2 linked regions of the Bombyx mori genome follow. The protein of the gene in region 2 binds, or shares a complex with, the protein of the main gene of each other region. Links are inferred from orthologs where the notes say so. Each region holds a gene or a part of one and is shown on either strand. Other genes may lie near its edges. The genes, in order: GTP-binding nuclear protein Ran and exportin-5.

Evidence for each region.
Region 1: exportin-5 (region 2) and GTP-binding nuclear protein Ran share a complex: the UniProt entries of both Homo sapiens proteins name them as parts of the nuclear export receptor complex. The link is inferred for Bombyx mori from reciprocal best matches to the Homo sapiens genes XPO5 and RAN.

What each region holds. Positions count from the first base shown.
Region 1 is NC_085116.1:5,369,314-5,381,755, reverse strand, and holds GTP-binding nuclear protein Ran, read right to left. Parts: upstream 5,496-12,442; 5' UTR 5,420-5,495; intron 5,054-5,419; 5' UTR 5,027-5,053; coding exon 4,601-5,026; intron 4,500-4,600; coding exon 4,284-4,499; 3' UTR 3,755-4,283; downstream 1-3,754. Other genes in the region: DNA-directed RNA polymerase II subunit RPB11, read right to left, coding at 226-460, 1,108-1,197, 1,312-1,364; syntaxin-1A, read left to right, coding at 6,616-6,648. UniProt on the Homo sapiens protein: GTPase involved in nucleocytoplasmic transport, participating both to the import and the export from the nucleus of proteins and RNAs. Switches between a cytoplasmic GDP- and a nuclear GTP-bound state by nucleotide exchange and GTP hydrolysis.
Region 2 is NC_085119.1:13,753,106-13,765,495, forward strand, and holds the end of exportin-5, read right to left. Parts: coding exon 11,699-12,390; intron 9,276-11,698; coding exon 9,127-9,275; intron 8,858-9,126; coding exon 8,678-8,857; intron 8,102-8,677; coding exon 7,898-8,101; intron 3,181-7,897; coding exon 3,007-3,180; intron 2,345-3,006; coding exon 2,201-2,344; 3' UTR 2,134-2,200; downstream 1-2,133. UniProt on the Homo sapiens protein: Mediates the nuclear export of proteins bearing a double-stranded RNA binding domain (dsRBD) and double-stranded RNAs (cargos). XPO5 in the nucleus binds cooperatively to the RNA and to the GTPase Ran in its active GTP-bound form.

The sequences.
Region 1 (12,442 bases), on a different chromosome or scaffold from region 2:
CATTTTTCTGGTGGTAGGACCTCTAGTGAGCCCGCGCGGGTGGGTACCACCGCCCTGCCTATTTCTGCCGTGAAGCAGTAATGCGTTTCGGTTAGAAGGGTGAGGCAGCTGTTTTAACTATACTTGAGACCTTAGAACTTATATCTCAAGGTGGGTGGCGCATTTACGTTGTGGATGTCTATGGGCTCCAGTAACCACTTAACACCAGGTGGGCTGTGAGCTCGTCTACCCATCTAAGCAACAACAAAAAAAAATCATAGAATGCAGATCGTGCCAACAACTTACTTTAAATCTTTCTTCAAATAATGAGAGTTCAGATGTTAAGTCTGTAATGGCATTCATGAACGCTTCCTGTGGTGTATAGTCTGATGTTGTTTGAATTCTGAGTACAAATTTATGTTCCAATGGATGCGGTATCTTGTAACCGGCAAAGAGGACTTTTGGGTCCTTCAGCAGTTGACTGAAATAATATTTGTTTTTTAAATTAACACAATCACTTAAGTGCAATAAAATTATGGGTGGTGAGTATTATGGGTTCACCAACTCCACTACATCAATAGACACTATACATAGTTTGATTTCCTCCACTAATATTGAACACATTCAATCTTAGACTTACACACAGTGTTTGTTCATTTAGTGTTGATTGTACTACATAACACAATAAAATGTGTGGCATTATTCATGTCGTGTGATATCTACTGGTTCCAGTAACCACTATACACCAAGTGAGCCTTTTACACATTCAACCGTTTATGCAAAAAAAAAAGCTCTGCATGCCCTTTCATTCTCCCCACTAACAGTAATACTAATACAATTCATATATAAAATAAAAAAAAGTACATGTCAATTCCTATGGGAAGGAGAAAAGGAGAAAAAAATGATGGCTTGTATCTAGTCTTCAAGGGGTGTACTGCCATTTTACTTATTTCTACTTCACCATAAACATATTTAAGTTACCTCATATCTCAATCTAAACAGGTTTAGAAAAAAAATATGAAAATTTATTTAAGAAAATGGTAAATAGTTTTCAACCCTAATATGATCACTTTTAATAGATCTCCTATATTAAATTTGATATCTGTAATTACAAGATAGAAATCTTACTGTCTGATCATGTTACCAAGTGTGTGGTCCTCTTTGTTAACTGTAAATATTGCTGCATTTGTAACTTTTGTATCTTCTTCTTTTTGAACCCTGAAACAGTTAGCCTCTGTAGATAATAAGCTACATAAATCAATTGTTACACTGTTAATTTACAGTCCTACGATACTAAGATTATTAAGCTGTAAATTCATTAAATAAACGTACTTTTTTTCACCGTCATACAACAAGAACGATTCGAATGTCGGCGGTGCATTCATGACTACAAATTCGTTATCAAATTTTTTGGACTAAAAATATTACAAAGAAATCCGAATAAAGCGATTTTTAGTTTCTTCTATCAAACAAACTCATCCCAGATAAATTTTAAATTAAATAACTTGTTTATAAAATCCTACAATAGAGTCACATATATTAAGTGTATAATCTATGGTCACTGTCATAGATTACACTTAATGTCACTATGTTTAATATTTACTTTTAACTTTTTATTTAAGAATTTCGGCTTGGCAACAAGATCTTTAAGCCAATTTTCTTATTTTCTTCTTTTATTCTGTTAAAATGTGAAAAACGTTAACATCTGAGTTTCTCGCCGAATCTTCTCTCAGATTGAGCCCGTGAGGCCACCTATCGGTCCGTGTGTGGTTGGAATATCCCCTTAACATAACGATTCGGTAGAAAAAAGAACTATGATATTATGAAGCTAAATGAAATAACATTGATTTGTTTAAGATTGGGTTGAATGGGTGGAAATTGCGTGAAATAAGGTGAAACGAAATAACATCCTAGTAAAATGGTGAAAATTTACTGAAATTTCAGTGTGCTTTTTGAGGAACCTCAGAAGTCCCGTCCAGGGATTTGGTTTTTGTAACCATATTTGTGAACTTTCGCAGATATTAAACAGTTAATAAACCACCGTTATTACACATTTAAACCTGAAGAAACACTAAATAGACAAAATAAAACAAATCACACAACTTCACTCCTCGCGTTCTCGCCAAAAAGTCCACTCACTCACTTACTCACTCTTTGATTCGCATAATAAAAAAATTGCTTATGCTTTTTGTTTCCAATCACTTAGGCAAAGGGAACGAAATCTAAAGATTTCAACTATGGAGTCCATAAGTTAGGAGCCTGTTTCAGTGTATTAAAAGTGTCCGCTGAAAGGGAACCAATTAAGGTGGTGCCATAGTAGTAAGAGGAAAGATTAAAAAAAACAGCACTATAAACTACCACACTTCACTTCAATCCAGCACACTTCACTCTGTTTAAAACTACTTTAATAATTTGCATTTATATCATTTCCACTTCATACACTAGCGCTATTTCAGTGTCGGTGAGTCTTCTAATAAAAACTGGCAGCTTACAGGTACACACTTTTTCGACTTGTCCCCTATACAAGATGGTGTTCCTTACCTCTATCCTCCATAAATTTAATAAAAGCTTATAGTATATGAGATCGAAGAAAAGTGTCTTGTACAAAAATTTTAATTAAGCAAAATGAAATAAGTCACAGGAGTTGTTTAATTAAATTCATGCGAGACCTATACAGATCACTATCTGTTTAGCATAAAATAAGTTCGTATTACTTGAAAAAAAACATGACCAGTAAGGGCCTCGATAATCATTCTTAGTTGTTCTTTTTTCTTTTATATTTACTAAGGCTTGACACGGGGTGGAGTTCTTTCTATCGAGCGGCTCGTGGTACAGGATAGGTAGAGGGTGTCAGCTTGCGCCGCTGACCTTCCGCAAGCTGCTCCGTCTGCAGCCCGACGCAGTGCAGCGCGCGAGCATGTTTTCCGCGTTGCGGTCAGTACAGTGGTGGCAACAACCGGAGTCAGTGAGCACTTGCGTCAGTCGGAAAATGATGCGTCTTCGGTCGGGACTCGTGACCCACCTAGTCCGGAAAGATCTCGCAGACTGCTTATACGGTCCGTAAACCATAGGACGGGATCACCAAGCGGCGACATAACGTCTTCAGCACGGACTGCCGAAATTAGAGCTTCCGCACTTATTCACCGGTGCGCCATTCTCTCCTAGAGCGGAAATCGCCACGCAACGCGTAATCCGTGGCGGGCGCATCCGCCTCCAGACCCCGGGGTGATTCCCCGGTGAGCATGCACACCACCTCAAAGATGCAGTGGAATCCACAGCGCAGTCGCATTTTCGAGGATCAGAGCGTAACACCAAACCGGTGAACAATATAGTGCCATGAACCTCCACCACACCCAACGTCCGTGATTTTTTAGCGCCCCAGCGATTTCCAATCAGGACAGGGTTTTAAAGGAATAAACGACTAAAAAGTAACTTTCATTGCGACGGCAACCGCCCCGACTCGAGATACGCTTGAAAAAGCCTCAGAGCCAGCCATCAAGGGCACTAAAGGTCAAATCCCAGATATTGAAGGCATATGCATAATGTGTAGGTACCTACCTCATGAAACTTAATATTTAAGAGAGGCTAATAAATAATTTCTCAGTATTTCGTCATATATTTTCAATAATTAGATAGCTCATTAATATTGTGAACAACCACACAAATCAGATCACTTACAGATTCTACATATTATTATTATTAAAGAATCTTAAGTTACAACAACCCATTTTCTCCATTGCTTCTTTTATTTATATGATGAAGTAAAATCACGATCTCATTTTTTACACTTTATTTAAAAAGTATCACCACAATTCAATTTTTCAGTGAAATATTGTCAGTCCTTGCATGTAACAAAAGTAAGAAATAATTTCAAGATTATAATATTATGTGTGTACATGCTATTGGTTTACAAAGAGTTATCATACAAATTTGTTTACATGTGTATTATAAATAACAGTGACCAAATAGGCATTAACACATATTGGGCAATCAATGCAAAATGTTTTTATGACAACTGTAACAAAAATGAACTACACATAAATAATACTCATATTTTTGTTGCCTTTCAATATAAAAGTTTAGAATTACAGTTTTATAAAACTCAAACTAGAGGAGCTACGTGTTAAATTATCTAATGATTTTACATTAATTAAAGCAAATGATTGAAGGTTTAATAAGTTATTAAAATAATGTTCATTTGCGATCACCTAATGGAATGAAAAAATTTAGTGTACGCTACACTGAACACATTTGCATGATCCTCCAATCACAAAATGGGCACTGGGTACATCCGTTGATCATATTTATAAGTCTTCATCTTCCTCAGGAAGAGCAGTATTTTGTGCATCTTGAAGATCTTTTTCAATTTGGTTCTGCCATTGAGGATCCATTGTAACTTCTGGTGGCAGAAGGGCAGGCATGGCAACAAACTCAAGGTTACCGTCACCAATTAATTTTCTAGCTAGCCACAGGAAGGGTTTTTCGAAGTTGTAGTTTGACTTAGCAGAAATGTCGTAGTACTGAAAAAAATAATCAAGTTTGAAACAAAAATAATTACAAAGAATTTTAACATTTTGCCTTAAAATTAACTCTTAAATTGAATGAAAATAGTTTTATTTACCTGCAAATTCTTTTTCCTGTGGAAAACAATAGTTTTCGCCTTAACTTTTCTGTCTTTAATATCCACTTTGTTTCCGCACAAGACAATAGGGATACCTTCACATACACGGACCAAATCTCTATGCCAGTTAGGTACATTTTTGTACGTAACTCGAGAGGTTACGTCGAACATGATGATAGCACATTGTCCTTGAATATAGTATCCGTCTCTAAGACCACCAAACTTCTCTTGTCCGGCTGTGTCCCACACATTAAAACGAATTGGCCCGCGGTTCGTATGGAATACTAGAGGATGTACTTCGACACCCAGAGTCGCAACGTATTTTTTCTCGAACTCTCCAGTCAAATGTCTTTTGACAAAGGTTGTTTTGCCAGTACCACCATCTCCTACCAATACACACTTGAATGTGGGCATATCATCTGCCATTTTCGTTGTTTTATTGCTATTTTACTTCTGAAACAATGTGGTAAACTAAAATTAGGATATAGCCATAGAATGTTCTATGACGCACGGTTGACAGGTCGTTTCAATCGATCGTTCACTAGGTTTCGCGGAATACAAGAAATAATTCAACACTTTAAGCAGATTAAATTCATCACTGGGTACATAAATTGTGAGTTTGAATGAACTTGACAACTTGAATTTGTTTTAACTTTTCGGCGAATGGCGCTCAATCACTCTCATAGGAATTTAGCTCGAAGGTACCGAACTCTAAAGAGAAAAACTGAAAAACTACAACGCCAATAATATAAATATGGATATCAGTTTATTGGCAGTTTTTTATAGAACACAAACAAATAATTTTTTTAAAGGCTTTACCGTGATTGTATAAGAAAATCGAGATTTAACTCGTTCCAAAGCAAAGTCGTTACGGCTCACAATGGCGTCACTTGACTAAGCGGAAGATTACATACAATGACAATTTTGACATTGACAAGCACAGTGAATTAAGAGTCAGTGTGAGGTCTTTTTAAATTTATGAAAGCCACGTAAAACTATTTCAAATGTTTAAAAAAATATTAATTTGCATTTTATATACTAACCTTTCAATCAGATATATTTTGTAAATGAGTTAATTTCTATTTGGGTAACAGTATTTAAAATTAATAATATAAGCCGTATAATGCGCTGTTTTGACTACAGGGTATTTGACGTCACTGGTATTTCGAAACCACTACGCCCCCTATAGCTTACAAATTCAAACATTTTATATTCAACATTGCCATCTTAGTGGTTTTGCCAACAAAATTGGCAATTATGACTCCCAAAAAAATATAGCATAAAGCTTATTTTGTATTAATGGTTTTGTATTAATTTTCTATTTTAATTTGCTCATCATGAGTGCCATTCATGAACACACGCTATACACAAATTTTCTTTCAATAAGAAATGGTAAATGCCCGCGGGAATTCTATCGGCCACAAAGACTTCGTAAGATCGTCTTTTTCCTCTTTACACTATTAAAATTTTATAAAATCACTCTTGCTTCTCGATGGATTTTTTCCATCTTCGGCCTTTCGATAGATTTTCGAACGAAGAAGAACAAGCAACTATTCTTCTTCGTGCAAAGTTTCTTTCTGAGATCCTTCCTATATGAATATATCGTTGCTGAGTTTCGTCTTGCGGCCTTCTTAAAACGTACTCCTCTTTTAATTTTAATGAGCCTGGTCGCCATACTATATCCATCTCACAATCTTCATTTCACAGTAGCGCACGAAGCTTATAAGTTGTTTCTTAGCATGTGTGCCTTGTTTTTTTTATATTTAATATTAGTGGATCCTAGAAAAAAATTATGGCAACATTAAATTTGACAGCATGAGACAGGTAGCGAGTGTAGCGACCAGCGATAAGTGAAGTTTTGCTCGTCTGAACGTTTTGTATGGTATCGATTTTTTGAGTGAAGTGAACGTAGTGTTCGTGTCCTTTAGTTTAGTGACGTTTGTTAGAAAAATATCTTTGAATGGGATTGTGTAACGAGAAAAAACGTTTACTTGGTGCGTGATTCTCTGTAAAGGATGACGAAGGACAGGTTAGCGGCGCTTCAAGCGGTAAGTAGATTTGTAGTTTCTCTCTTCTCGCACATCTAATGGTCTTGCCGATGACCTCGAATTCATGATGAAATACCGATAATAAGGTGCCTATCGTGAGTTTGAAGGATATTTTCATAGTTTCTTCTTTTTAAGAACTACACATCTTTGGACAAACCAAATATACGAGGGTTCTTTATTCTGGTCGCCCCACCCCGTACTCGACTTGGATGAATGATAGCTGTCATTCATGCGAGACATTTGTTGCGTTCCGCTATTCTTGTAAGAAACCTACTTTATCTGCATTGTTTTTGGGCCACTAACCATGTCGAAAACTTTAAACCTGTATAACCTCACAAGAAAACATTTATTGTTATAAAACTGAAATGTCGTAAACACTTGTTTAGTATTTCAACTATAGTACGGATTTTTTTATTTATCATGAGTTAAAAATTAAATCATAGGATACAAAAGTAACTTTGAGTGTATTTTTTTTTTTTAATTATCCAGTTAGTTAAAGTGCATATGAGCAATAAGTTATGACTCATAAGAACAGTCAGATACAATGAAGTGGAGAAGGAAAATTAAGATCAAAGTTACTGAAAGTGTATCTAGGCTTTAAAATTTGAATAATTTAACAACTGATTGAAATAAAATTATTAAAATAAATAATGAAATCAAATTATGCTACAATTTACATCCATTAATATTTTAAAAAGTAATTTTCAGCTTTTCTTTATCAAAATAAGTATACTATTTTTATGTTACCCACTCCATAAAATAAAATAAAAATAAACCTAAAACTTATAAATGGACCAAGTGCTGCATGTGAAATACAAACTTGATGAAGTTGACACATATACATTCGAACTTTTTATTAAGATAGAAAAACTACAAGCTCTTATATTGATCATATACTCAATTAAGTCTTACATATTAAAATATTCACTAAGTATAGGAAAGGTACCTAGTTTATAGAAATTAATTTACTATTGTAGCAAATTGGATAGTTTAATTTGGAATTGTTATTTGAATATTTTTTTCTGTTTATTTCTAAATTATTTTTGTTTCATTAGAAATTGGTATTGTAAAATAAGTTTTGTAGTTTAACAAAATACACCTGAAATGATAATATGAGTCGACTATTATCAAAGCCGGCAATGTGACTTTTGGACAATTATTGGTAAATCAGAAAAATGAATTATTGACTTTGTATTCCATTGGCAGTCACAAAACTCTTCTGAACGACATCTTAGATAAATAACAGGTTAAGTATTAACCTTTATTTAATGCAGGTTTTGAACCGTATTCTTTGAAGGAGACGATTATATTCAAATCAATCTGTATTGACATATCAATAACATTTTTTTGTCCAAATGCACAGATTGCCACCTTTGATAATAGATGACTCATATAATCATTAAAATCACACTGCTATAAATCTTCTTATTATAAATTCTCTGAAGATTATAATTTAGTTAGAACAAACCAAACAAACCATTAACATTAAATCTTTAAACATTCAATGACAAAGAAAAAAATACTTATATGTTTTTCGATTTCCAAATTTCTTTTCAATAGTAAAAGACACTTTTTTGATGAAAAGTGTTGTTTATTGTGCATTATTTTTAAGGAGGGATGTTTTGTCCCTAATTTGGTAACATATTGATTTGTAAAAAATGAAATTCATTGAATTGATTTGCACTTGAGGGTCCGAATGAGACTGTCTAAACGATGAAACTGTCAGCATTCAATTCCAAGTTTGAAATAAAAATAACATGCTAATTTGTTTTTGATTTTAGTACAATTCTTTGCATTTTCGCATGTTCTTTTTGCTTTCCTGTGTATTACATTCCACGTTGACTATGATTTTGGGAGAGATTAACGATTTACTGATGTAGTAGACACCTAAAACCATAAATCCAATTACTGTGCGCAACGTTGTTTCGGCGCTTAAACCAAGCTTAGTATTAAGTGAGGTGATGGCTTTAGACAGCCCTACTCGTTTATAATTTGTTTATCTTTTTACTATTATTCTCCTTAATTACACACATGAGGGTGTTGTAATAGATATGAAGATATTATAAATAAATTTTGTCATATGCCAAATTGTTAGTTATATAGTCATATAGTCAGGTGAGCTCACCGACAAGAGGTTAAAATTTCAACTCCATTAGAGTTACGGCTGTTCTAGCCCCCATATCGTGGGTCTCGTGCATCAAGCCGTGGAGATTTACTGTAATCTTGTTTAAATAAATAATGGTTAACAATGTCTTCTAACAAATTCAACATCAAATCGGCTTATGTATTTTAGCACGATCAAGTGTAAAGCGCCGACGTGCCTTATCTTATAATAAGGTCATTATCTGCACGGAACGAACTGCATGAGACAGAACGAATCAAGTTCCGCTTATGTATTTTAATCGACAAGTAGGAGGCGGGGATTGTATTTTTAACTACCCTCAGTTTACCTACCCTCAGTTTAAGAAGGCGACAAATAATAAGCGTTAACATCTAAAATACTTCAACAGTACCGCGGCACCACGTCTTTATATACAATTTGGGATAAATAACAATATAAAATCCGAAATGGGAGGTTTTGTCTGCTCTTCCAACGAAAAAATAAACGAACAAAGAATATGCACACGTTAGGATCATATCTCAGTCGTTATTTCCACAGTTAGATTATCTTCACGCACAAGCGTTCAAACTTTTCTTATAGACTACAGTTTTATCATAAAAGTAGATAAATTAGGTTAGATAAATAGAATAAGGCTTATTAATACTGTCTTCCATCAATAATGAACTCATATTGAATGATAAAAATAAATAACTTAAAGCTATCATAAAATTAATTTGTCGAAATACACAATAAATTTTCTTCACAAATTATATAACTAAATGTGACCAAAAACCCATCGCGCAAGACATTGCTCATCGGAAATGGCGTTGGATAGGACACACTACGGCGCAGCGGAGTCAACGCAGCATCAATCGCGTTTGAGTGGCAACCGCTTGGCAGGAGAAGACCTGGTCGCCCTGTACACACTTGGCGACGCACCGTAGAGAGTGAGATGAGGACTGACAACGTGACCTGGAGTGATGTCAAGGAGCAAGCGCAAGACAGGATAAAGTGGAGACAACTTGTGAGGGCCCTATGTACCAGCGGGGTACCCTAGGACAACAACAACAAATTATATATTCTCTTAGCTCTATTGCTGCCGTGATGTACTCGTATGTTCTGGTCTGAACAGTAATATGTACCAGTAATATGTAATATATACCATCTCATGTCTCTGCGTAACTCCAGTAACCAATTAACGCGAGGCAGATCGTGAGTTCCTTTGTTCATTTCAGGAACCAAAAGAAACTCAATGAAAATTTGTGTGAATAGAAAATTACAATTTTTTTTCACGAGTCGTAAACATAATTAAAAATACTTTTACCCTTCAAAAGAAGCGTAAATATGAGAAAGTATTTTATAGAAAATTTGACGGTAGTTACCGCATTATTCAAATATCGAAGATTAATAACGTAGTCGTCCATGATCACGAAAAATGTAAAGTACCCGAAACTTCGGAAATTAAATAATGAAAATAATTAGCACCAGATTAAACCGTAAAATGAGGTTTTAATTAGAATGTTTGAGTGATAACTGAATATATCCCATATTCGGTTATAAAGCTGAGTTAAGTGCATAAAATTTTGATTAATGCTATTGTTCACTTTTAATTTGAACACTAGGACGTTGGTCCTCCTTGTACAAATCTTCACAGTGCCCTGCCCAATGCTTAACAATACTTATTTTAATGTGTGTAGCCCCTGATCCATTCCAGCATACTCTGCAAATACACCTAAAATATTTTCTTTAAAACTCTAGAATGCGCCGTTTAATGTGGACTATTCATAGTGCTATTAATGAATGCCTTGATTTAATTATAACTTCTACCAAAATTCAATCTTGATAATGTCTTCCGACTTATTTTGTGTACCCACGAATATCGGCGACAGCTGTATGTTGTGCATTATATTTCTTCCTTTTTTTTTAAATGTCATTAGATGAAACAAAACAAAATCTGTAATAAAAATTTCGTAAAACATTTTAGTACCTTCCTGCATAATCAGCAATTCAATTCAATTAATAGAGGTTAATAGAAAAGTAAATCAATGCCGATTAACACTTTTCAAGTGCTCATTAGCATTATGTAACTAAAAAATTCGCAAGATGTTGGTGCATACCCTTGCGGGATTAAAATACGGCCTATCATTACACTCACATAATTTTTTACTGGTGGTAGGACCTCTTGTGAGTCTGCACGGGTACCACCTCAACCTCGCCTATTTCCGTGAAGCAGTAAGACGTTTCGGTTTGAAGGGTGGGGCAGCCGTTGTAACTGTACTTGAGACCTTAGAACTTATATCTCAAGGTGGGTAGCGCATTTACGTTGTAGATTTCTATGGGCTCCAGTAACCAATTAACACCAGGTGGGATGTGAGCTTGTCCACCCATCTAAGCAATAAAGTAATAAAAAAAAGTAATTAGGCAAATTAGTGTGCGCAAAATTATTGGAAATTAGGATTGCGTTTTATTCTCACGAAGGTATTCATTTGGTTTCTCCGTGGATATAGATGTTTGCTTTAAGTGTTTGCAAATACTTAGTTAGATCTTCGATGTGTCGTCTCTATACTTGTCAAATGAAATGTTGTAAATGAAACGGACTTACTTAGTTAATTAAAAAAAAAATATGAAGTTTTTGCGGAGGAAACAATAATAATAATATTCTTTCGTGTTTTGTAATTGATTTTTTCATAAACCTATTTTTCATATGAGTAGGAACTTTTTAAATACATACTTGTAGTCGCTTCTTTCTTACAATTTTTAACATTCAATCAAGTTTGTTTTCTTTTGGTAGTTCTTCTTGGTTTTCGTTCGTAGTTCTAGCTCATTTAAAGGTTATGTAATCGTAAATTTATTTTCCAGCGATTTTATCTAGATACATTACTTATACTTAAAGAAGAAAGGAGCTTTATATAATCTAAGAACATTCTGAATTAAGACTGTTTTCGTATGATCTATAATTTGTGTTTTCTTTTGGTAGTTCTTCTTGATTTTCGTTCGTAGTTCATTTGAAGGTTATGTAATCGTAAATTTATTTTCCAGCGATTTTATCTAGTTACAACATTACATATACTTAAAGAAGAAATGGGCTTTATATAATCTAAAAACATTCTGATTTAAGACTGTTTTCGTATGATCTATAATTTGTAAATCTGTAGAACATCTTTCAAACATAATAAAACCGATTAAAAATATATATAAACTCGTGACATTCATTCTTCAATCCTAGTCGAGATGTTTCATTGAACAAAGCTTAAACAGACAAATGTCACAGATTTTACTCTAAAAATCACTATGGAGTTTCGTAACTATTAAAGGAATATAAAATAACAAAAAATTGGAGGACGTGGAATTTAAAAATAACGAATTCGAAAATATTTCAGTCCGATAAGTGGCAACGCTGTGATCTCATGTGTACAGTTTACCACGTTAGCAAATGCTGTTATCAGCTGACGAGGGCGGCATCCGGCATTCGGCCTTCACAAAAAACAACTGACTCATGAACTCGTTGGCCGTCAGATTTACATCATCAATCATTTCGTTTGTATTCTCGAGTGTAAATGTTTTAACTTGAACTTAGTATGTCAAATTCCTAATGCTTAATTTCTAATTTGGTTCAACAAAACTTTTTGAGTCGACGTAGTAAACCGTTTTATTTTTCTTTGTTGAGCATCATCACTAGCAAAGTTTTTCAAG
Region 2 (12,390 bases):
CGCTGAGGGACAGGGACCCCGAGGGACCCCGGAGACCAGCGGCGACACCGCCGGCACAGATGCCGGAGGAGTCCGCGACCCAGCGGCACGCGGCAACGCGGGCGACGACCTCGTCGCGGCTACCCGCTTGGTAGCAGCAACCTTGCCATCGGGCCGCTGCTGCGCCTGTAGCTGTGCTCGGAGCCTCAAATTCTCCGCCATCAGCTGCACCACCTGGTCATTGGCGGAAGCAACCGAAGGCAGAACCTTCGAGACTCGCGAGACGACTTCCCGCAGCCTGCGGCCAGCAGCTTTGGTTTTGGCACTGGTCGCCGCATACGACTTGACGGTCTTCATGGCCCTGCCTATGACCAAGGCAGGGTCCCGAAGACCGCCCTCCTCCTCTTCTGTCGTCCGCCCGTCCAGCGAGGCGACAGACATCGACGCCGATGACGGCGCCGGTGACGGTGCGCCCTTCCCCCGAGCGGGTCTCCCTTTAGGGGGCGGCATCTCCTCCGCGGCAGAGGCCGAATCGGAGACTACCACCACTTTCTCCGGTGGGGCATCCGTGTCAGAGGACGACGTTAGCCCCCCCTTCCCTTCGCGGGAAGAAACTCCCCTCGATTTCCTCTTCCGCCTGACTTTCCCTTTCGGGCCAGCCGCCTCGCAGTCGCTGACGAGCGCAGAGCGCGTCGAGCCAGCGCTGGCACACCTCGGTTCGACGGGTTTTCCGCTGCCCGTCGCACAGCCCCCTTCATCGTGGCATGCTTTGCCCCCCCCAGAATACGTGGGGCAGCATGCTCCCACCGAAGTGGAAGCACGGAGGGATTCTCCACCTAGAGTGGTACCCTCCTGGGGTAATGTTTTTTGTAAGTTTGCCATCATTCATTTCGTTCCTTTGTTATTTAACCAGGGGTCGGTCCCCTGGGACGGCCCTCACGACTGGACACCCTCCAGCCACTCATCCCATCACCGGGCACGTCACAGGCTTAGGATTAGGGCATTTTTTATAGAGGTTTGCATCCTCGCGGCCACTACTAGGCAGCGGCCCCCGCCCCCCACCAAGTGGGGATTACGGTATGGGACAACCCTTGGGACTAGACTCCCTCCAGCCATTCATCCCATCGTCAGGTGTCAAAAACTTGGGATTGGGGCATTTTTTATAGAGGTTCGCATCCTCACGGCTCCTGCTAGGCAGCAGCCCCCGTCCCCTACTCGGTAGGGATTGCGGTGTGCTTCTTCGAAGCCACGCCGGTAAACCGGTACCCCCCTTTGGGGGGCCTTCCCCTGTAGCCGCCAAGAGGCAGCCGGGGACATGGCAACCAGCGACCGGAAGGGAGTGCCCTCCGGTTCACTTCTCATCCACGTGGGGTCTACCATTACTGACAGACCCACACGTCTGACCACGGTGTGGCCACGCCGGCGTACCGGTACCCTCCTCTGGAGGGCCTTCCCCTTTAGCAGCCAAAAAGCTGCCGGGGACATGGCCTAGCATTCAAGACGGCTCCAGAAGGGAGCCATCTCCCGCTTCACGCACCCTTTGTCCAGCAAAGGTGGGAAAACGGGAACACGGTGTGCAGTCCTCTTTGTTCACGGCACCCCTGTGCAGACAACGCTGCTCCACGGTATCGGGGTGCACGCTTAAGCCCCACCGCCGCGACAAGGCGAGATTTGAGAAGGCGGCACGACATGAGAACCCTCTTGTCGTGGCCGCTGGAAACTACCAACTCGACCCTGTAGACCGAATGGTAAACAGTCACGTCCATAGATTATACACTTAAGTCACGTCGCCCAAAGCACGTCATTACGGATCCTCCTGATCCATTAACGGTGCTTTTAGGTACCACAGGCATCGGTCACCGTCCTCGTTGAACCCGTCGCTTGTGACGAAGGGCTCGACGGGCGAATTAACCCATAGACACAGCCCACTGAGTTTCTCGCCGGATCTTCTCAGTGGGTCGCGTTTCCAATCTGGTGGTAGATTCTGCTCTTGCTAGGGTCCGTGTTAGCATCGTCGTCAGGTTTGAGCCCCGTGAGCTCACCTACTAGTTAAGGTTACGCTGATATAGCCTCTCAAGGCTCTCAGCTTAGGTAGGAAATGTTGGAAGTCGCATTAGAAGTTTCACTTCAATAAAAAATAAAATATAGTAAACATAATAATTAATATAATTTATTTAGATACAAAGTGGTATTCACAGCATGGTATAGATTTGACAGTGGGCTAGGTGGGTGGAGTGTGCGCGAACAGCAGGTCCAGTCGGGGCGGGGCGGTGTCGTCAGTCGGCGGGCGAGCCGTGCGGACCGTGGGCAGATCCACTATGAACACTTCCTTCTTGAACAGCTGACCCACGTTGCGACCAATTAACTATACAAAAACGATACAATATATCAATATATACTCTCTGCCAACGATATTAGAAGTGACTGACTCCACCGCGCGGGTGGATACGAATATTGTTATCCGAAACTTGTACGTATGCTGTATGTATGCGAGGAATGGCGACGTTTGGTGAAGCGTGGTGGTGCCACACGAAATTATGACAACGACCACTCTGCCAAGAGTGCATACGACTGAGTAGAAGAATCCTATCTATCTTGTCAATGTCGTTAGCGGGGTTTAGCTTTTTGTCGGATCCCTTCTATAATGTAAGTACGGTAAATATTCGTTTTGTGAAAGAAAACAAATTTAGATAAGAGTACTTCGGATGAAAATTAAATTGTAAATCACATATCGGTCGTCACTCATACTCTCGGAATTCAAAATGAAGTATATTATTGAGTAGGTAGTGTCTTACTTTCCAGTTTTGGTAGTATAAATAAAATGAAGAGTTATTCAAATGGGACTTTGAACTTGTACACTGAAGTGGAATTTAAGTTGTATTGTCTATGGATTCCTAGAACAGACATGGCTGTATGGACTTTTGATCTCCTTGCCTTTCCAAATAAGCAAAAATTTTACCAAAAAAAAGCCTCTAGATTCCATTTTATTTACATTAACTGACGTGTTATCATCATTAAAAGAAGTACCTTGGAAGTGATTTTCTTAAATAAATCTCGTTTGCTCTTGTCGATTTTGGAAGGTTTCCCGGTGTTGTTGGCAAGCTTATCTTCTAGCCGCTGCAGATCGTGTGCGTCCACATCCGGAATGGCACGTAGTACATTTACTATGTTAGGGAACTGTGGCCGGAGAGTTTCGTATGTCTGTGGAGAATGAAAAGATAAAAAAAAAAAAATTGTGCGTGTCGTCATCATTTTACTGGGGGTAGGGCCTTTTGTGAGTCCGCACGGGTAGGTACCACCGCCCCACCTATTTCTGCCGTGAAGCAGTAATGCGTTTCGGTTTAAAGGGTGGGGTAGTCGTTGTAACTATAAGACCTTAGAACTTATATCTCAAGCTGGATGGCGCACTTTACGTCGTAGATATCCTTGGGCTCCAGAGACCACTTAACACCAGGTGGGCTGTGAGCTCGTCCACCAATCTAAGCAATAAAAAAACTATGATCTTTGAACGAAAAAAATGTTAGGTCACGTCATAAATTTTCAAATGCATTTATAAATCGATATGTTTTGCAAAATATGTACAAAGGACATGGGCCACTCTCCATACATTGCACGGCCCACTAAACGAAGGACAGTAATGCGGGATTTACATTACGAAATTAGTGTCATGCATGTTGAGCTCAGTTTCACGAAAGTAGTTTCGATATATGCGAAAGTAATTTCGTTAAAAAATTAGTGTCGCGAAATCCACAGTATCGCAGTAACCATGGCGCCTTCAGCATCAAAGCTATAATTTGCCATATTCAATGAAGCTAAAGAAATGCTTATATACCTATAAACTTAAAAAAAGACTATCAAGTAAAAAGAAGTTGGTAGATTCGAGGATGGTCAACAAGAAGGTATTTAGGTGCAATGAAGTTAGTCTCTGAATTAGCAGATGAAGATCCTGAGAGTTATAAAAACTATTTTCGAATGAGTGAAGATAATTTAAATTTTTTACTGTAGGTGTTTCGGGTCCCAGAGACACCCTTGTCGCTAATATTCATTAATAAGATCTAATTTTTTTTTTTCGCGCTCCCGATTCCGTTCCCGTCACGAGGACTGTGGTGGATTGGCACACGCTGGGCATTAGCCTGGCTGAATCTGATCCACCATCGCTCCCGTTTAGCCCGGACTCTACCCCGTCTCCTCAGGATACCGCTGAAGCCATAGACATCGTAATGTCACACATCACCTCGACATTAGATAGGTCATCGAAGCAAGTTGTGGCGGAGGACTTCCTTCACCGCTTCAAATTGCCCGACGATATTAGGGAACTCCTTAGAGCTAAGAACGCTTCGATCCGCGCCTACGATAGGTATCCTACAGTGGAAAATCGTACTCGAATGCGTGCCCTACAACGCGACGTAAAGTCTCGCATCGCCGAAGTCCGAGATGCCAGATGGTCTGATTTCTTAGAAGGACTCGCGCCCTCTCAAAGGTCTTACTACCGCTTAGCTCGTACTCTCAAATCGGATACGGTAGTAGCTATGCCCCCCCTCGTAGGCCCCTCAGGCCGACTCGACTGAATAAGGCGATATTGATATCGCCTTATTCATCAGTTCAATATCGACGACAATGAGGAAAATTATAAGAACGATTAAATATTTTTCTTTGACATGTAATATTTTGTTTGTACTTTATAATATTAAAATAACCTTTTTTATTTTCTATAATATTGCTATGAACGTAATAAAATAATTTTTTTATTGGATATCTTAAAAGATCACAATAGACTAAGCACTCTATCTCGCTCACACCCGCTTGAACAGTTGCTACCTCGCGCTCGCACCTACAGCGGGCTCTCAATGTGTCTGGCAAGATGTAAGAACCATTAAAACTGTCCGGCTCTTGGGGTAACATATTTTTATAAGTCCCTAAGTAACATATATAAAATTTAGCTTTTATAGTATAACGAAAGTATAATTAAAATTTATTAAAGTTTAAGGGTGTCTGGCAGGGGGTAACAACTGGAAAAAGTGTCCGGCAACGGATATCATGATTTCTAAAGATATTCTGGAGTAAATATTAAAAAAAAAAACCTTTATACTTTAACGAATTTAAGGTACTATTTTATATACCTTTACTGCCTGTTACCTGCCCAAGTAACCACAATCGGAACTCTATAATCGCGGGTCGTTCTTACCTGTGTTGGAGACATACACAGAGAAACTTTCAGCTTTTATAAAATAACGAAGGTCTGGCTGTCACGGGCTCTTGGGCCATATGAAATTAATTGCATGACACTAATTTCACCAAAAAATCGCGCAGGGCACGAAACTAATTTGCATGCATGAAATTAATGCATTACGACAGTATTAAGTTACACGTGAAACTGTTGGTAAAACTATTGTCACGAAATTAATTTCATGCCACTCATTTCGTAATGTAAATTCGCCTTAATCAAATTAAGTTTAAATAACAGACTATATATGCCTTTTATTATAAACAAATTAAAATCAATATTGTTCATGGGGATACAGAGATATTTAAAAAATAAGATAAGATTTTTGTCGATGATGTCGCTCATGTCCCACGCGAGTAAAATACTCCTTCGCATAATAAACAGCAGACTATCAGCTTTCATAGACCACCAGATACCGAGAGAACAGGCTGGTTTTGTAGCTGGAAAAGGAACTCGCGAGCAAATTTTGAACGTCCGAGTGCTCATTGAGAAATTTCGCGAGTTTAACAAGCCTCTGGTGCTATGCTTTATAGATTATGCGAAGGCGTTTGACTGTGTTCGGTGGAGTAGCATGTTTGATGTGTTAATTGATATGGGCGTTCCTTCTCATCTCACACAACTGATACGGAATCTTTACCATGATGGCTCTTGCTTCGTGAAACTGGATAATCGAAGATCTAAACCCTTCCATACAGAACGTGGAGTGCGTCAGGGCTGCATTCTGTCACCCAAATTATTTAATATCTACGGCGAATATATAATGAGAAGAGCACTTGAGGGCTGGAACGGCGGTATTTCCGTGGGCGGTGAAACACTCACGAACCTGAGATACGCTGACGATACTACCATGCTTGCATCAGATGAGGAGGAAATGGAAATTCTGCTGAACCATGTGGAAGAAGAAAGTGCTAAACTCAGTCTTAAAATCAACCACTCCAAGACCAAAATAATGATAATAGATAGAGCGAAAATTCTTCCACGTTCTGATGCACTCAGTGGCTAGCTACGAGAAAGTAGCGGAATTCACATATCTTGGGTCGCAAATAGCATCCGAGGGTGGCTGCACGGGGGAGATACGCCGAAGATCCGGTATGGCTAAAAGTGCGATGGCCAATCTCGAGAAGATATGAAAAAATCGTAGCATCCGATATAAAACCAAAGTGCGCTTGGTGCGGGCACTGATCTTTCCCATATTCCTCTACGGGGCGGAGACATGGTGCATAAAAAGCCGGGACATCAAAAAGATCGATGCCTTTGAAATGTGGGTGTGGCGGAGGATGCTGCGAATACCGTGGACTGCCATGAGAAAAAACGAGTCCATTCTAAGGCAGCTAGACATCCGAAAAAGGCTCTCTTCCATCTGCCGGGAGCGTGTTATGAGCTTCTTCGGATACATCATGCGGTCTCCCAGACATGAATTAGAGAAGCTCATAATTACGGGTCGAATAGAAGGCAAGCGCGCCGTGGGTAGAACACCAGCCAGATGGTCAGATCTGGCAAGAGAAGCACTCGGTGGTAGTCTGTACCCTGCAGTCCATGCCACCCATGATCGAGCACATTGGAAGTACGTCGCATGTGGTCGCGATCCTCAGTAGTGAGGGAACGATATAGAAGAATATCATATGATTTGCTGTCAATACACTTACACTTTAACATCATCATCAGCTTAAATATTATTTATATTACTATACTTTATAACACAGACTTAATTCAATGAACGCCAAGACTTAATTTTATGCACAACAAAATATAATAAGCAGGTATATCGCAACGAAACACTTAATAATATCCACAATGCGCACGAGTGCGAAAACGACTGATCAAATGTAAAACAAAAACATTAAACAAGCGTTTTGTTTTTGCTTATAATCAATAATTATTGATCAATGTAATGCTTTATTCTACGGATTTAAAAGTATAAAAATAGATTTTTGTTTAGATATAATGTTTTATATTAGTTTTGAAATTCATTAATTAAATATGTTAATATATTTTTCTAGTTTTTTGCAATATAATGTCTTTTTTAAGAAGATTTAATGTGGATTGTTTAAAATATAAATATATTTTACCTATGGCAACTCCTTCAATATTATCAATGTAGCTTAGTCATGCTAATTTCTTTTTATTTATGATTTTAATTATCCCACCATTAAAATATCCTTAAATTGTATAATAAGTATGTGTATGCTTGTCCTTAAGTATGTGTGTATAAGTATGTGTCCTTTAGTCGCATAGTTTATACATATTCCTCATGAAGGAGCAAGTGAAGGGGACTTGGGGGGAACGCGAGGAGTGAATTTTGTCTATTTGGTGTTTCTTTAGTTTAAATGTGTAATAACGGTGGTTTACTAACTGTTTAAGATCTGTGAAAGTGCACAGATGTGGGAAAATGAAACAAAGCCGCTGGACGTAACTTCTCGGGATCCTTCAAAAAATTCACTGAAAAAATCTCAGTAAATGACCACCACCATTTTACTGAGATTATATTTCACCCCATATTATCTCATTTCATTTAATTTCATCCCAGTTGATTAATGTCTCAAATTAATCATCTTCATTTTATTTCATTTCATTTCACTCCATATCATCATTTTTCATAAAAATAAGAATTTAAAATAAGACATGACTTAAAGGTCTTAGTTACCAGGTTATAAAATCCCTTAAAAAAAACCAAGTGAAGGAGCGAGGAGGTACCTGCAGCGCGAGCGCGAGCAGTGCGGCCTGGTTGGCGTCGTGCTGTCCGTGCGCGCGCAGGGCGTGCAGCTGGGCGTGCAGCGCGCCCGCCGCCTCCGCCGCGCCCAGCTGCCCCGCCGCGCGCGCGCCCGCCACCGCCGCCAGCGCCAGCCCGCACGCGCGCAGCGACGCGCTCGAGTCGCCCCACGTCAGCGCACGCAGTACCTGTAGCCATACCGTACGATCTAATATAATATAGGGTGGAGAAAAAGTATCTTCGCATTTTTTAAGAACATTCACAACATTTTTTAATATATAATAGTTTATTTAGATTTAGCTAAAGTATGTAGGTACTATTTTGTTCGATAACTTTTTGCCATCTTGTAGGTAGGGATATGATCCCATTGCTATAGAAATTTTGGGGCTTCTGATCAAAATACAGTGACAATTGATTTTGGCAGTTCTCTCGTGATGTTAGCCTGACACTGCCTGAAGAATTCTGAAGGGACCGAAACAGGTGGAAAATTGAAGGTGCAAGGTCAGGACTATATGGCGGATGCATTAACCCCTCCCAGCCAAGCTCTCTTAATTTTTGCTGAATGGCTAAAGATATATGAGGTCTAGCGTTATCATGATGAAAAACCACACCCCTTCTGTTGATTAATTCCGGTCGCTTTCTCTCGATTTCTTGCTTTAATCTCATCAGTTGTTCGCAGTAAAGTTCAGAATCGATGGTCCTGCCTGGTGGTAAAAGCTTGTAATGAATAATTGCAGGAATTTGATTGTTGTAGGCATAGTTACCGTGTGCAAGAGAGCGGGTCCCGCGACCGGATGCTGCAGCAGCAGCGCGCCCAGCTCGGACACGGCGTCGGGCGTGCGGGTGTGCGCGGCGGCGGGCGCGGGGGGCGCGGGGCTGGAGTCCTCCTCCATGTCGTCGCACGTGTCCGCACTTGACACCACGCCGCCCTCCACCAGCGACACCTAACCCCACACACAACACAAATTAAATTATTTCATACTAGGTGGATCCGACAAATGTCCTGTAAACTTTTTTTATTAAATTTACATTCCTCAATATTTTTTTTAAATATGAATATAATTAAATTATTTTTTCTTTCAAAATCTAACTAATAATTTTTTTCCACGATATTTTTGTTGATTATCCCATTTTCAATTTTTCTTTCCGCTTGAATTTTGCTTATCATTTTCTTATAAACACTAAGCAAACAGTAGATATTATGTCAACTTACTTTAATAACTTCTAAATATTCTTTAGTCAGGTTTCTAACGAGGATATCTTCTAACACTTCTTGAGACTCACTGCCGGTTTCCTCTTCTAGTTTACCAGACTCGTAGAGAGACATGATGTAGTCCCATCGTTGCGACAGATGCATTAACACTATAAAAAAATTGATCTCGTAAAGATATGTTTTCACTACCTATTGAAAGGATTATCTTATGACTTTTGGAGTACAACACCAGTCATCTGGTTTAGTATCTACCATAGTTCAAAGTCACAGTGAATGTAGCCTTATGATATGATATTAAAGTTCCAAGGCGCATTATGTTTGCATTGTTATGATTATAATGATAACCTCTATAGCACTTTTGTGATTTCAACTCAAAGCATGGAGATAAACATGACTAGAACAATATTAAAAGACTTAACTATCAGTGCAGTGTATGTATATTATAATTCTGAATGTCTTTGGAGATATTAAACAGTTTGTAGATTAAATAGAAATCTTATACCTTTATAAGCAATTCTTGTATATTAATATATATATATATATATATATATATTACTACTTACAGGAAAAATCTGTCGCGGATCATCTCCCAATTAAATTAATCTTAAGCAATGAATGCAATGTATTCAAATCTTAGCTGTATATTTTTTTTATTTTTGATGTTAATGCACTGTCGATTGCACCTATAATTGAGGTGACATCTGCCATGAGCTTTTGTCAATTTGTCAATGTTTTGTATTGATGACACTGAAGTAGGAAACCTATGGAAATGAAACGTCAACAAAAAATTCGTGCCACTGTGACGTCATCTGGCCACAAAACATGGCGGCTTTAGTGCTGCCCAGAAGATTTTAATGTTAGTAGGTTTTATCGATAAACGTTCTTGGCTTATTTTATTTTAAATATTGTTGAGTATTAATGTATTTGTAGAATTTATACTTTAATAGAAATTAAGTATATTGTTATATGCAAAGATGATGTGATTTAGATATTATGTGAAATCTAAGACGAGTTCGTGCTTCAAATTTTCCAAGTAAACGATATGACGATTTTTAAAATTTGCTACACTGATTTTATAAAGTTGTCGTTTGCCGCAAAACATAAAGATATGGCATAGTACAGTGCCATCAGCCCATTTCTAGCATGCTGAATGTTATCGTATTTTGAGTACGTGTTTTTCTTAGACTATTACAATCTATTTTAATTGTTTTGCTGACTCTAAAGTCCGTAACAGACTACCGCAGTGCACCTCAAGGAAGGTGTACCGCACCATTTGAATCACTCTCACTTGAGAGTGATTCAAATTTTAAACTTATCAAGGGACCGCCTGCTAAAAAAAAACACCTACAGAACATTTATTCGTTAATGAAATTACAAACGTCATTCCTTGTGACTTCCTCTCTAAAATCACCTAATTAATAAATATTTATCGAATTTACAATAGTGTTTTACTCACTGCGGAATAAAACTATTTTATTTAAATAGTTCCGAAGAGATTTTGTCGGTAGCCTTTTTCCCGAAATATCTAAACAGAATGTCTAAATATGTTTTGATGACATATTTTAAAGAGGTATTTATGATTAGTGTCATGATGAATAGATTCCGACCGAAAAATGGTGTCCGATATTTCGGATTCAAATATATTAAGTGTATAATCTATGTTTCGGATGAGGGCTCCATAATGAATTTAAATATATATAGATAATAGTTTTGGGGCATCGACCTTCTTGAGATCCTATAAAATATGTTTTAATTATTATTTTTGTATGTTTTAAGCATGATAAAATTAGAAATTTTATATAAGCAATCATATTAAATCGATATCAAAGTCAATAAATAATGTACAACCCAAAACAGACGGCCGAACTGACGTGACAATGACATTTGGCGCGCTAAACATGGCGGATTTTCGGCCTCATTAGACGGAGACGGAGACATTTACGTATATTCATGTTTCATTTTATGTACGCACTGAAATACTGTTATATTGTTTTCCTGCGAGTTAAAGTGCTGAGTAAGAACGAGATAGATATATGTTTATGTGTGTGCCTTCAAAATGGGTGCTATTTATATAAGCAATTGTACGTATAGAACAATATGTCGTGTCCCTACTATATAGGTCTATGATTGATGATCACTTTGTTGGTGTAACTTAATAAATAAATAAATAAATAATCTGAATCTCGGAAACGGCTCCAACGATTTTCATAAAATTTAGTATACAGGAGATTTAGGGGGCGATAAATCGATCTAGCTACGATTTATTTTCAGAAAATGTTAATTTATTCGTGTTTTCAACAATCAACTCTTCCCGACATCTATTGGCGAATAATAATACTAGTTTTCTTAATTAGGGGCAACTAACCGCTTTAAAGACACAACAAGATGGCGTTATAAAATCATCTAGTTACTTCTAAAATGAACAAGTGACATTAATAGAAAGATAAAAATAGTAGTATATACTTTCGCGAAGGTAATAGGCAGGATAAGGATAATGCTGCCTACCCGTGCGAGTCTACCAACAACAATGGGGATTTATACATTTTGTAAGTTTGATTACAACAACACTTACTGAACGGGGCCACGTGTTCGAGTATTGGTACGGCGACGTCGTGATAGTGGGCTGGCGGACAGTGCAAGATGAGAGGCTTGAGCGCGCATCGGACGAGCGGCCGCAGCCAGTGGTCCGGCAGCCGGTCCAGCCCCTGCAGCAGCGAGCCCGCCAGCGCCCGCGCCAGCCCCGGCGCCGCGTACAGCTCGCGGCCCAGCGACGCCGCCGCCGCGCCCACCAGGTGGCACACGGACTCGTGCAGCGTGTGCACGTACTGCTGCATGCGCGACGCCGGGGACACGGGCGCCGCGTCCTGGTCGCACAGGCCCAGCAGGTTGCGGCGCTCGGCGGCGGGCGGGCCCAGCGCGCGCGCCTGCCCCGCGTGCAGCAGCCCCGCCGCGCCCGCCGCGTGCAGCTCGTGCAGCGCGCGGCCCAGCGCCAGCGCGCCGGGGAACAGCGGCAGCACGTGCGCGGCGCAGGGGTTGCGCCACACGGGGTTGCCGGCGGCGGTGAGGCCGGCGCTGAACCCGCCGCGCGTGGCCTTGTCGGGGTCGGCGGGCACGTGCGTGCGCTTCACGACGCCCAGCAGCAGCGTGAGGCCGTGCAGCAGGTCGCGCCGCGCCGAGCCGGGCCCGTCCGTGTCGCTCGGCGAGCTGTCCACGGGCGCCGCGTCGAGCCCTATGAGGCGCACCAGAGCCGTCGCGGAGCCCGCC